Canis lupus familiaris: one gene and its partners. The protein of the gene in region 3 interacts with the protein of the main gene of each other region in a biochemical or structural test. Links are inferred from orthologs where the notes say so. Each region holds a gene or a part of one and is shown on either strand. Other genes may lie near its edges.

Region 1 (3,743 bases), on a different chromosome or scaffold from region 3:
TCTGTGACTTAAATAAATAAATAATAAATAAAATATTAAAAAAAACAAAAAAAAAAACAAAAAAAAAACAAATGTCTTATTCTTAGGGACATGTGAATGTTCTTGTCTGGATAATTCTCATTAAGAATCCAAAAGCTGGGCAGCCCCCGTGGCGCAGCGGTTTAGCGCCGCCTGCAGCCCAGGGCGTGACCATGGAGACCCGGGATCGAGTCCCACATCGGGCTCCCCGCATGGAGCCTGCTTCTCCCTCTGCCTGTGTCTCTGCCTCTCTTTGTGTCTCTATGAATAAATAAATAAAATCTTAAAAAATCGAAAAGCCACCGAGTGGGGGGGGCGCCTGGCTGGTTCTTCGGTTCCCTGGGGACAGTGGATTTCTGCTCAGGTCGTGATGTCAGGGTCCCAGGATCCAGCCGGGGTGGGGGTGGGGTCCGCACTCAGCGGGAAGTCTTCTAGGGGACCCTCTCCCTCTGCCTGCCCCCGCCCCCCAGTCTGCAGCTGTCTTTCAAATAAATGTCTTAAAAAAATAATCAAAAAAAACCCCAAGAGGCGGCCTAGATGGCCGAGTTGGTTGAGCATCCCACTCTGATCTCAGCTGTTTTTTTCTTTTTTTTTTTTTTTTTTAATTCATCAGAGACCCAGAAAGACGCAGAGACATGGGCAGGAGGAGAAGCAGGCTCCCCGCGGGGAGCCCGATGCGGGACTCGATTCCGGGCCCCGGGGTCACGCCCGGAGTCCGGGGCACTCCCGTCTGTGGACCGGCCAGTGGGCTCCACTCTGGGCCCCCTCTACTTAACACTAAAAGAGAACCTGAACTATAGGGCTGCCACTTGCCCCACGCCCTCCTTCAACACCCACTTTCCTGGGAAAAAGGAAGAGCCTGGTTCTGTGTGGGGTCTTCAGCTGAGGCCCGGGTTGGTTGCCAGGGGCCCCCTGCCCCGTCCCGCCTCTGTGGGGGCGGGGTGCTCCTTGAGGCCCTCCCGCCGCCCCTGCACCGCCCGGCCCGGCCCGCACTCCGCAGCCTGCGCTGCCGTCAACACACGTGGGAACCTTCCGCCGCAGCGCTAGTCGGCTGCACCTGCGGCCGCGGCCGGCCCCCGGCTCGCCCCCGCCCCACCCCCGGCCCGCCCCCCGCCGGCCTCATAAAGGCGCGGGTCCCCAGCCCCACGGCGAGACGCACCTCCCCGCCCGGAGCCCCGCCGCGCAGGTGCTCGGAGGCCCGGCGCGTGCAGCGCGGGAGCAGCCCGGGCGGCGACGGGCCCGCGGAGCCGGGGCGGGCCCGAGGACAGGGGTCGCAGCGCCGGGGCCCCGGGGCGCGAGCGCGGAGGCCTCCCCGCGGCTTAGGTTTCGCTTTCCCGGGCGCGCGCGGTTTCGCTTTCCCGCCCCCGGGCACGCCCGCGCAGGCGTCGGTGCCGCTGTGGTCCCCGCGGGCCCCGCCAGCGCCCTCCCGCCCGGGCCGCGCCGCCCGCACCTGTGCTCACAGCAGCGCCGCCGCGGCCGGAACCGCACACCCGCAGCAGCCCGCCGCCCGCCGCCCGCCGCCCGGGCCATGGCCGTGCCCGCGGACAGGTGAGCGCCCGCCCGCCGCCGGGGTGCGTGGCCACCGGCCTCGCCCGCACCCTGACTGCCGGCCGCCGCCCGCAGGGGGGCCCCGCGCCCGCTCTTCGCAGACTGGCTCCTGGGGGAGGTGAGCAGCGGCCGCTACGAGGGCCTGCGGTGGCTGGACGCCGGCCGCACCCGCTTCCGCGTGCCCTGGAAGCACTTCGCGCGCAAGGACCTGGGGGAGGCCGACGCCCTCATCTTCAAGGTGGGCCGCGGCCCGGCGGGCAGGGGGGCTGCGGCCGGGCGGGCCCCAGGCTCACACCTTCCACCCCTCCCCAGGCCTGGGCGGTGGCCCGAGGCAGGTGGCCGCCCGGCGGCGGCCGTGACCAGCTGGCCTGCGAGGCCGCACTCCGCGCCGGCTGGAAAACCAACTTCCGCTGTGCCCTGCGCAGCACCCAGCGCTTTGTGATGCTCCAAGACAACTCCGGGGACCCCACTGACCCACATAAAGTGTACGCACTGAGCTCCGAGCCGGGGTGCAGAGGTGAGGAACCCCACGGCAGGGCCGCCGTAGGGGAGCCGGGCGCACAGGCCCGACACGGTGCGGCGAGGGCGCTGGGACCTCGCCCTGTACCGGAGCACATCCCTGGGGCAGGCTCGGGGTTTTGAGACAGACCTGAGAGAGGCAGGTGCCAGGTGGTTGGGGACGGGGGGGGGGGGGGGGGGGGGGGGGGGGGGGGGGGGGAGCTGACTGGGCCTGCTGGGGTGGATTAGTGGTGGAGCCACCCTGCTCTGAGGGCCTACCCAAGGACACATCATGTCCACTGCAGTCTCACCCCATTCTCCCTCAGGAGCTGCGGCGATTAACCATGGGGAGAAGGCGGGTGAAGACACCCCACCACTGATGGTAAGCCGGTTCTGCCCCCGGTGCTCGTGTTCCCAGGTGGGGGCTGCCCTCCTTCCTGGGCTGGGGAGCTGCTTATGCTGGCCCTGTCTTCCCTGCAGGGTGGGCTCCCTAGGCCATGCCTGGGAGGAGATGCTGGCCAGAGGCTGGGGCACAGTCTGAGCCCTGAGCCCTGTGCCCCATGCGCCCCTTTGGGCCAAGCTGGCAATGCCGAGGATCTCTTGCTCCAGGCCCTACAGCAGAGCTGCCTGGAGGACCATTTGCTGGAAGCTGCATGGGGAGTGGATGCAATCACTCCAGGCACTCCTGGTGAGGCCGGCCAGATGGGGATGCTCTGCCTTGCAGGGCTCTGTGGGGGGGGGGGGGGGGGGGGGGGGGGGGGGGAGGAGCAGGGAGGACAGCACGGTCCTCGTGGAGAGGGAGGAGGATGTGCAGTAGAGGTGGTGCGAGCCACAGCTGTGCCCATTGTCGTGCTGCTCAGGCCCAGAGCTCCCTGACATGGAGCCATACCAGCCACGGGCAGCAGAGATGGCCCCAAGCCCTGAGCCCCAGGTCCTGCACCAGGCCCGGATGACAGGTGAGAGGAGCCCATGGGAGTGTGAAGGACGGAGGGCTTGGGGGGCCAGGTGCCAGTCAAGCCCTCCTTTCCTTCCAGATACAGGCCCAGCCTCGGAGCCGTGGCAGCCCCCCCAAGAGGTGGAGCCTTGCGCCCCAGTGGCAGGGGAGCAGGTCCTGGCCAGGCCCGGCTGCTCACAGCCAGGACTGCAGGCAGAGCTCAGGGCCCTGGATGTGACCATCATGTACAAGGGCCGCACGGTGCTGCAAGAGGTGGTGTGGCATCCAAGCTTTGTGCTCCTGTACGGGCCCCCCAGCCTGGCCACCAGGGCCACTGAGCCCCACTGCGTGGCCTTCCCAAGCCCGGCCAAGCTCGCGGACCAGAAGCAGCTTCACTACACAGAGAAGCTGCTGCAGCACGTGGCCCCTGGCCTGCAGCTGGAGTTACGGGGGCCGGGGCTATGGGCCCGGCGCCTGGGCAAATGCAAGGTCTACTGGGAGGTGGGAGGGCCCCTGGGCTCGGCCAGCCCCTCCACAGCCCCCCGCCTGCTGCAGAGGAACCAGGACACCCCCATCTTCGACTTCAGCACGTTCTTCCGAGGTCAGTGACGTGCCTATCCGGGGGCCGATGCTGCCCCACCCCCTCCCGTCCCACCGGGCCCTGCTCACCAGGTCCTGTCCTGCAGAGATGGCCGAGTTCCGGGCTCGCCGGCGTCGGGGCTCCCCATACTACACCATCTACCTG
Region 2 (3,743 bases), on a different chromosome or scaffold from region 3:
ACTTTAGTGGGTGTGGTTTCTTGCCCCCTTTGCTTCTGAGAAGGCTCCACCTCCAGCAGTATCCACCCGGGCTGACTTCCACTCTGTTTTACATTCAGCTGTCCTTTGCCAGTTTCGTCCAGCCAAAAGACAAAATAAAAACAGTAACACTTACTGTTTAATACATGCCTGGCACTGTTCAGGCATTTTACATACATATGATACACACAAATACATATATAAAAATACATGTGACCACCATCCATCAACATACATCATATACGATTAATATATAATGTTATCATATCATATTATATATACACATGTCTATAAACTCTGTGTATACGGATCACTTCATTCTCAAACCAAGGCTATGAGATAGGTGGTATCAGATCCATCATGCAGCAGAAGAAACGGAGGCAAAAGCAGCTCACCTGCCACATTCACGCAGACTGTAAACTGGTGAAACTGGAATTTTAATTGAGGATGCCTGGCTTTTCGCCCCTATGCTACACTACTGAGTAAAGGATGCCGGGCAGGAGGGGAGATTGAAACAAGATGGCTTAATGATCCTTTTTTATATCTATAGATTTTTTTTAAAGATTTTATTTATTCACGAGAGACAAGAGAGAGAGGCAGAGGAAGAAGCAGGCTCAATGCAGGAGCCCGATGTGGGAGTCGATCCCGGGACCATGGGATCATGCCCTGAGCCAAAGGCAGATGCTCAACCGCTGAGCCACCCAGGCATCCCATGGCTTGATGATCTTAAAAAAAAAAAAAAAAAAAAGTGCGGAGCAGTTGTAACCAGCCTGGGAAGCAGAAAAAAAAAGTCTCCACTGGAGAGAATTGCAAAGGGGGACAGAAAGCCTACAATTAATCACATTAAGGGGGGGGGGGGTCCTGTCTTCTTTAAAAGGGACAAGCTCCTGGAGAGGATAATGCCTGGATTTTCATCAATGGAATTTCCCATGCATGGCAGGTGGGAGGCCCCCGGAGATTTGCAGCTGGGGGGGTGGGGGGGAGCCCTGCCTCAGAAAAGTCCACTGGTCTTGGCAGAGCCCCTCCCCCGCCCGCAGGGTGAGGCCCCGGGCAGGACGCGGCGTCAGCCCCACGCACAAACGCCAACTGTTCGCCCGCGCAGCGGTCCCTGCGGCTCCCTGCGGCTCCCTGCGGCTCCCTGCGGCTCCCTGCGGCTCCCTGCGGCTCCCTGCGGCTCCCTGCGGCGGGGGCGGAGCCCGCGGGGGCCACGCCCCAGATGAATATTCAAGCGGCCCCGCCTGCGAGCCCGAGCCCGGGACCCCGGCGCCCCTCAAGGGGTTAGGCGGGGGAGGGAGGTGGGAGGAAGGGCCTGCCCGGGAGGACGGCGGGGGAGGGAACGGCCGGGACCCGGGCGCGGGGCGGCTGGCGCGGGCGAGGTCGGGCGAGGTCGGGCGAGGTCGGGCTGGTGAGGGCCTGGGTGCACCTTGCGGCCCCGCCCCACCCACGGGCACCAACCACGGGCACCCGAGCGCTCTTCCTAGCCCTGGGAACCGTGCAAACCAAGAGAGGGCTTCGGCTGTGTTCACTGCTACTTCGTGACTCCTCTGTGTTAATAACGTGCCTCTCTGCACACGGACCGGGTGCAGCAGCTATGTTAATTTGTGCACTCTCATGATCTAATCTACGACTTTGGGTGGGTGTCAGTCTTTGCCAGAGGCTGGAAACTTTCAACTTTTTTTCTTTTTAAGAGTTTATTTATTTATTCATGAAAGACACACAGAGAGAGGCAGAGACACAGGCAGAGGGAGAAGCAGGCTCCATGCAGGGAGCCCGACGTGGGACTCGATCCCAGGACTCCAGGATCACGCCCTGGGCCAAAGGCAGGCGCTAACCGCTGAGCCACCCAGGGATTCCAAGGCTGGAAACTTTTAACTAGACTTTTATAATACATATACTCTTAGATCTAATTGGGACATAATTGGGGAATTAGCCATACCTGTTGATGCTCATATTTGACTCTATTATTTTTATTCATGGAGAAATGTCCCAGCACAGATCATCTGAAAGAGTAGATCGCTCCGAAAAGCATTTCATGGACTTCTAATACCAGGTAGGTTTTTGGGAACGTGCATTCAGTCTTTTGTTGTTAAGTCGGTAAGAGGTCACTTTAGAATTCGTTTTAAGAGAAAACACTGGGAACTTTGTTGAGTGCATCTTTTCCATTAATCCCTCCATTACGAGAGAGGCTCTGCTTCTTACCTACAGATTGGAAGTGGACCAAATAACATTACTGAGAGGAAACCAACGAATAAAAGGAAAGAATGTAGTGTGAAAGCACTTAGCTATGAGGGCACACTCCTCGCCCATCTTACTTCCATCCCAGAGAATTGAACACACATGCAGATGTAAAGGTACAACCACTGTAAGCAGCCATGAGACCTTATGGAAAGTAGGATAGGGACCAAAGGACACAAACAAATGTCCCAATAATCTAGATTCTGGAAATCATAGACTGATACATTTACCATTAATCCCCAGCAAAATTCTAGATTGGATAGCTAAGCAGGCAGCTAGTGAGCACTTAAAAAAGATGACCACTAGGAACCAACAAGAACTTGACCAAGAACTGGTGAAGCCAAAGTTTATTTCCTTCTTATGTCTTTTTTAAAAATAAAGTGCCTGATTAATATATCAGAATACCAAAAAAATAGAACATCTTGACAAAAGGATAGCCTGTTTATCTTCCCCCACCTTTTTTTTCTTTTTTCAATATTGGATCAGGGGTCAAAGTGAGCAAATTGAGCATTTGGCAGCCAAAAAAGTAAACTCGAGAGCCAGAAAGAATTGGGTTTGATTCCAAGCTCTACAACCTACTAGTTGTGTGACACTGGGCACCTCTGAGTCTCACTTTTCACAGCTGCAAAATGGGAATAGAATATCTACTGGACAGGTAAGAAAGAAAATACAGAGTATGCAACACGAGTTCTCAAGAGAGGGCAACTATAATTAAGATATGATGTAAAATGTAAAAATTTAAATATAAATTCAGGAAAGAGAAGGACTGAATTCAGTGATTCATACACAAATATTTTTTTAATTTACTGAAAGTTCAGTGTGAAATAACCAAGTAACATGTTTCAAGTGCAGACTGAAACTTATTAATATAAGTATGTGCAAACCCAAAAGGAAGAGTCCCAATTGATTCCATTTGGTCAGATCCTATCTAAAATTCTTTGTCCCTTTCTGAGTAGGATACTTGAAGTGTAGCAAGGAGACATTAAACAACATTTGGGATAGTGGGAGACCCAGAAACCACAATATCTAACAAATAGTCAAAAGAAACAGTGGTGTTTATCTAGGAGAAGAGATTAAATGATAGCTGCCTTCTGATATTTGAAGAGCTATGATGTGCAATAGGGTATAAACTTGGTCTGCACAACTCCAAATAATAGAATTGGGACAAATGATTGGAAGTCGCAATGAGATCGATTTTGGACTCAACATGTAAGGTGTTCAACAATGCAAGGAACATTCTTGAAAAATAGTAAGCTCACAATTACTGAAAGTATTCTCACAGTGGGAAGAGGCCAGCTCTCAAAGATAGTGTGATAAGGGATTTTTGTACTGGAAAAGAGAGTGGCCTACTTTTAGATTAGAGTTAGTAATATACCATATGTATGCCAACCTCTACCCAGCCATGGCAGACATGACTAATCAATGATAGTTTTTTTTTCCCTGCTGAACTAAGCTTAGCCTGGCAATCTTTTTCCATGCATGCTCCAAGC
Region 3 (3,643 bases):
CAGGGCGTGATCCTGGAGACCCTGGGTCGAGTCCTGCGTCGGGCTCCCTGCATGAAGCCTGCTTCTCCCTCTGCCTGGGTCTCTGCTTCTTTCTCTCTCTGCATCTATGAATAAATAAATAAAATCTTTAAAAAAAAAAAAGGTGAGGGCGGGACACAGCCAGGCCCCTGGGGCCTCCAAGAGCGGTAAGAGCAGAGACTCTGGCAAGGGAATGATGTTCCTGAATCTTCTGCCAGCAGGCAGCAGTGCCACTTGCTCTCTGAGGCCCAAGGGGCCCTGGGTCACTGAGTACCTGGCCCGCTGGGACAGGTGTGGAAGTAGAGGCCAAGGTGGGCCCCGCTGATGAGCGGGGACCAGACTGTGTGAGGGAGCCCCCCCACCGCACCCTGCGGCCGGGCCACCAGGCGGCGCCAGCCACTTTCCATGGGCCAGGTGCAGGCCGGCTGCAGCCCCAAGTCCAGTTTTGTCGGTGCCAGGCGACTGTGGGGTGCGGCGCTGGCCCGGGCCCACCCGACACCGCTCCTTCCCTCCGCAAGTTCCAACGTCCTCCTGGATGACAGACTGATGCCCAAACTGGGAGACTTTGGCCTGGCCCGTCTCAGCCGTTTTGCAGGGGCCAACCCCGGCCAGAGCAGCACAGTGGCCCGGACGCGGACGGTGCGCGGCACCCTGGCCTACCTGCCCGAGGAGTACGTCAAGACGGGGAGACTGGCCGTGGACACGGATACCTTCAGCTTCGGCGTGGTGAGCCACCGGCCCCTTTCCTGGCTTGGGGTGCGGGCGCTGTGGCCAAGCAAAGGCAGGAGGGCCCGGGTGGTGCCCTCCGAGGCCAGAGAGCGAGCTGGCAGGAAGCTGACCGTGGCGTCAGCTCCAGGGCCCCTCCGTCCCCGACACCGGCCCCCACCGCGGCCCCACATCTCGGCCCTTCCCTGCAAGTGGCCCTCCAAACCGCCGAAGCGTCAGCCCCATGACGCGTGGCTTCATCTTTGCTGGCAGCCAGTCCTCGGCGGCCCGTCCGAGGGCCGGGCCCCCGTCAGCCTCGGCCGCCTCGTTGGGCTGGGCGCCCCCGTCCACCCCACAAGCCCCGCCGCACATGGCCGTCCCTGCCAAGGCCCTGGGGCAGCACCATCCCAGGAGGCACTGCGACACTCTCCATCCTGCCCTCTCCAGGTTGTGCTGGAGACCCTGGCTGGCCAGAGGGCTGTGAGGACGCAGGGTGCCAAGACCAAGTATCTGGTGAGCGTTCTGAGCTGGGGCAGGGAGGGACGGAGAGAGGCAGAGGGGAGGCAGGGAAGCGCCACTCCTGATAACCAACAGGTGCAGCCCTGGAGGGTGGAATGATCTGGAGTGCAGTGCCCCACAGAAGCCAGCCCCTGCTACTGCTGACTCATCTCTGGAAGTAGGCAGGGCTCCAGACAGCTTCCCTTGACCTTGCTGAGGAAAAACCTGTCTTTCTTCTGCAGATGCTATGGGCCTTTCCAGCTCCCACCTGGGCTGGGAGTGGGGAAGGGGAGATCCCAGTGGGGCCAGAAGCGCAGGGGAGAAGAGAACACAGGGCCCTGGGGGAGGCTGCGGTGGGAAGTCAGGCGAGCTGAGGAGCGCTGCATACTGGGAGGGAGCTGCCCGGTTCTGTCTGGCTCTGTCTGGCTCACTGTGCGCTGGGACGGGGCCAGGAGGCGGGAGGCCTGGGTTCCGGTCCCGGCCCGACAGTGGTCTTGGAGCAGAGCCCTGCTGGTCGTCGCGGGGCCCATGGCCCCACATGCTAAGAGGCTTCATGCACCTGCCGTGCTCAGATGATTCCAGGGCCCGGAATGCGTTCGGTCAACGTTTGTTCTTTACGTTTTGGGGCTGGTTTACCTCCTGCTGCCCCTGATCCGGGCTTGGGGCTGTCTCTGTCCGTTAGCGAGGCTCGGAGGGTCAGGGCTGGAACTGGGGAGCCCCTCGGGAGCGCTTCCTTCACCTTCTCCATCCATCAGCACATCCCATTGGCACAGTGGGTGGAGCCAGGCAGGCTCCCCGGGGATCCTTCTCTGGTCTTCTTTGGACCCTTCCTCTTTGTTCTCCGTGCCAGGGCCTAAGCGAAGTTGCAAAACAAACAAGAGATAGTGTGGAAGGCTCTTTGCCTTCCCCCTGGGCTTGGGGCGGAGGCCCAATCCCTTAACCACAACTCCCTGGGTCCCGCCATCACCAGTGTCCTCTGTCCTCCAAGCTCAGCTAGCCCTGCTGCCTGCCCCAGCGCCTTGGTTCGAGCCTTTCCTCCTGCCCAAAAGGTCCCTTCCCACCCAGGTGCTTCCTCCTGGTCCTTCCAGTCTCAAAACACAAGATGGCCTGCAGTCCCAGCTGCACCCCTGGGTACCTCTCTGTGGGGTGCTCCCCCCCGCCCCCCCTGCCGCTCGCCTCTGACCTCTGGCCAATTTGTGCCTTCAGATCCCGGCGCCCAGGTTCCTACGTGCTACTTGCTCAGGCCCTGGTCAAAGCACCGTGGGCCTCTCCATGGAAGTTTTCTTTCTTTTTCTTTTTGAGATTTTATCGATTTATTTGAGAGGGAGAGTGAGCGAGAGAGGGGCAGGGTGATGAGCAGGGGGAGGCAGAGAGAAGCGGACTTCCCGCTGAGCAGGGAGCCGGGCGTGGGCCTCGATCCCAGCATCGAAGGCAGCCGCCCAGGCGCCCCTTCCTCGAAGCTTCCCGTTGGTTTCCAGGCTTGTTGGTGTCTCTTCCGCTCCAGGAGGTCAGCTCCGTGAAGGTGGGCCCAGGGTGCTCCGTCGCTGCATCCCTCAGGCCTGGGGCAGTGCTGGGCACGCCATGGGTGCTTAATCAGTGTCCAAAAAGCCCTCAGGAGTCAGTGATGAGAGCCCGGGGAATGGGGTGAAGGCGCGGCCCCGTCAGCGGCCACGCTCACAGTGTCTGTCCCACAGAAGGACCTGGTGGAAGAGGAGGCCGAGGAGGCCGGGGTGACCCTCAGAAGCACCCAGAGCACACTCCAAGCAGGCCTGGCCACGGATGCCTGGGCCGCCCCGATTGCCAGCCAGATCTGTAAGAAGCACCTGGACCCCAGGCCCGGGCCGTGCCCGCCGGAGCTGGGCTTGGTCCTGGGCCAGCTGGCTTGCTGCTGCCTGCACCGCCGGGCCAAGAGGAGGCCCCCCATGACCCAGGTAGCCCGGGGGGAGCACTGGTGACTGGCTGGCGGCCCCCGGGGCGGGGGGTGGCCCATCAGACACGGCGCCGCCCTGCAGCGAGCCCTGCGTGGCACCTGCCAGGCCTCTTTCTGGGGACAGCGTCTCCAGACGTTTTTCCACTTGCCCTTCAGTTCTGCTGGGGCGGCCCGAGCCCACCCGGCGGGGCGCGCAGGGAAAGGGCCTCGACGGCGCCCCGTGCTGGGTGCGCTGCGCCACTGCACCTGCGTCTCCTGCCCCTCACCTCTGTCCCCTGCCGTCGAGAATGCAGAGGCCCCTGTGAGGGCAGCAGGGCCGTGAGCTTAGCTTCCCAGGGGACAGAGAAGAGCCCTTCTCCGGCCCTGGTTTGAGCAGCCGTGACTGCTCGGCATTCCTCGTGACAGGGCTAAACAGGCGAGGGATGGAGCTTCCCCGGCTGCAGGGTAGGCCGGCCGCGCGGTCCCTGGGGCCCCCGGAAGCCCAAGCCCCGA

The links. The genes of interacting proteins can lie anywhere in the genome.
Region 1: the proteins of IRAK1 (region 3) and IRF7 form a complex in vitro, tested with the Homo sapiens proteins (2 studies listed by BioGRID, with this or other methods). The link is inferred for Canis lupus familiaris from reciprocal best matches to the Homo sapiens genes IRAK1 and IRF7.
Region 2: of the proteins of IRAK1 (region 3) and PELI1, one has a biochemical effect on the other in vitro, tested with the Homo sapiens proteins (5 studies listed by BioGRID and IntAct, with this or other methods). The link is inferred for Canis lupus familiaris from reciprocal best matches to the Homo sapiens genes IRAK1 and PELI1.

The regions. Positions count from the first base shown.
Region 1 is NC_049239.1:26,059,173-26,062,915, reverse strand, and holds the start of IRF7 (interferon regulatory factor 7), read left to right. Parts: upstream 1-1,525; 5' UTR 1,526-1,546; coding exon 1,547-1,566; intron 1,567-1,641; coding exon 1,642-1,804; intron 1,805-1,878; coding exon 1,879-2,083; intron 2,084-2,390; coding exon 2,391-2,446; intron 2,447-2,544; coding exon 2,545-2,752; intron 2,753-2,924; coding exon 2,925-3,020; intron 3,021-3,098; coding exon 3,099-3,599; intron 3,600-3,684; coding exon 3,685-3,743.
Region 2 is NC_049231.1:65,153,328-65,157,070, reverse strand, and holds the start of PELI1 (E3 ubiquitin-protein ligase pellino homolog 1), read left to right. Parts: upstream 1-1,500; 5' UTR 1,501-1,651; intron 1,652-1,954; exon of another isoform or gene 1,955-1,997; 5' UTR 1,998-2,068; exon of another isoform or gene 2,069-2,217; intron 2,218-2,739; 5' UTR 2,740-2,908; intron 2,909-3,743. UniProt on the Homo sapiens protein: E3 ubiquitin ligase catalyzing the covalent attachment of ubiquitin moieties onto substrate proteins. Involved in the TLR and IL-1 signaling pathways via interaction with the complex containing IRAK kinases and TRAF6.
Region 3 is NC_049260.1:123,043,316-123,046,958, reverse strand, and holds part of IRAK1 (interleukin-1 receptor-associated kinase 1), read left to right. Parts: intron 1-476; coding exon 477-744; intron 745-1,170; coding exon 1,171-1,236; intron 1,237-2,915; coding exon 2,916-3,152; intron 3,153-3,643.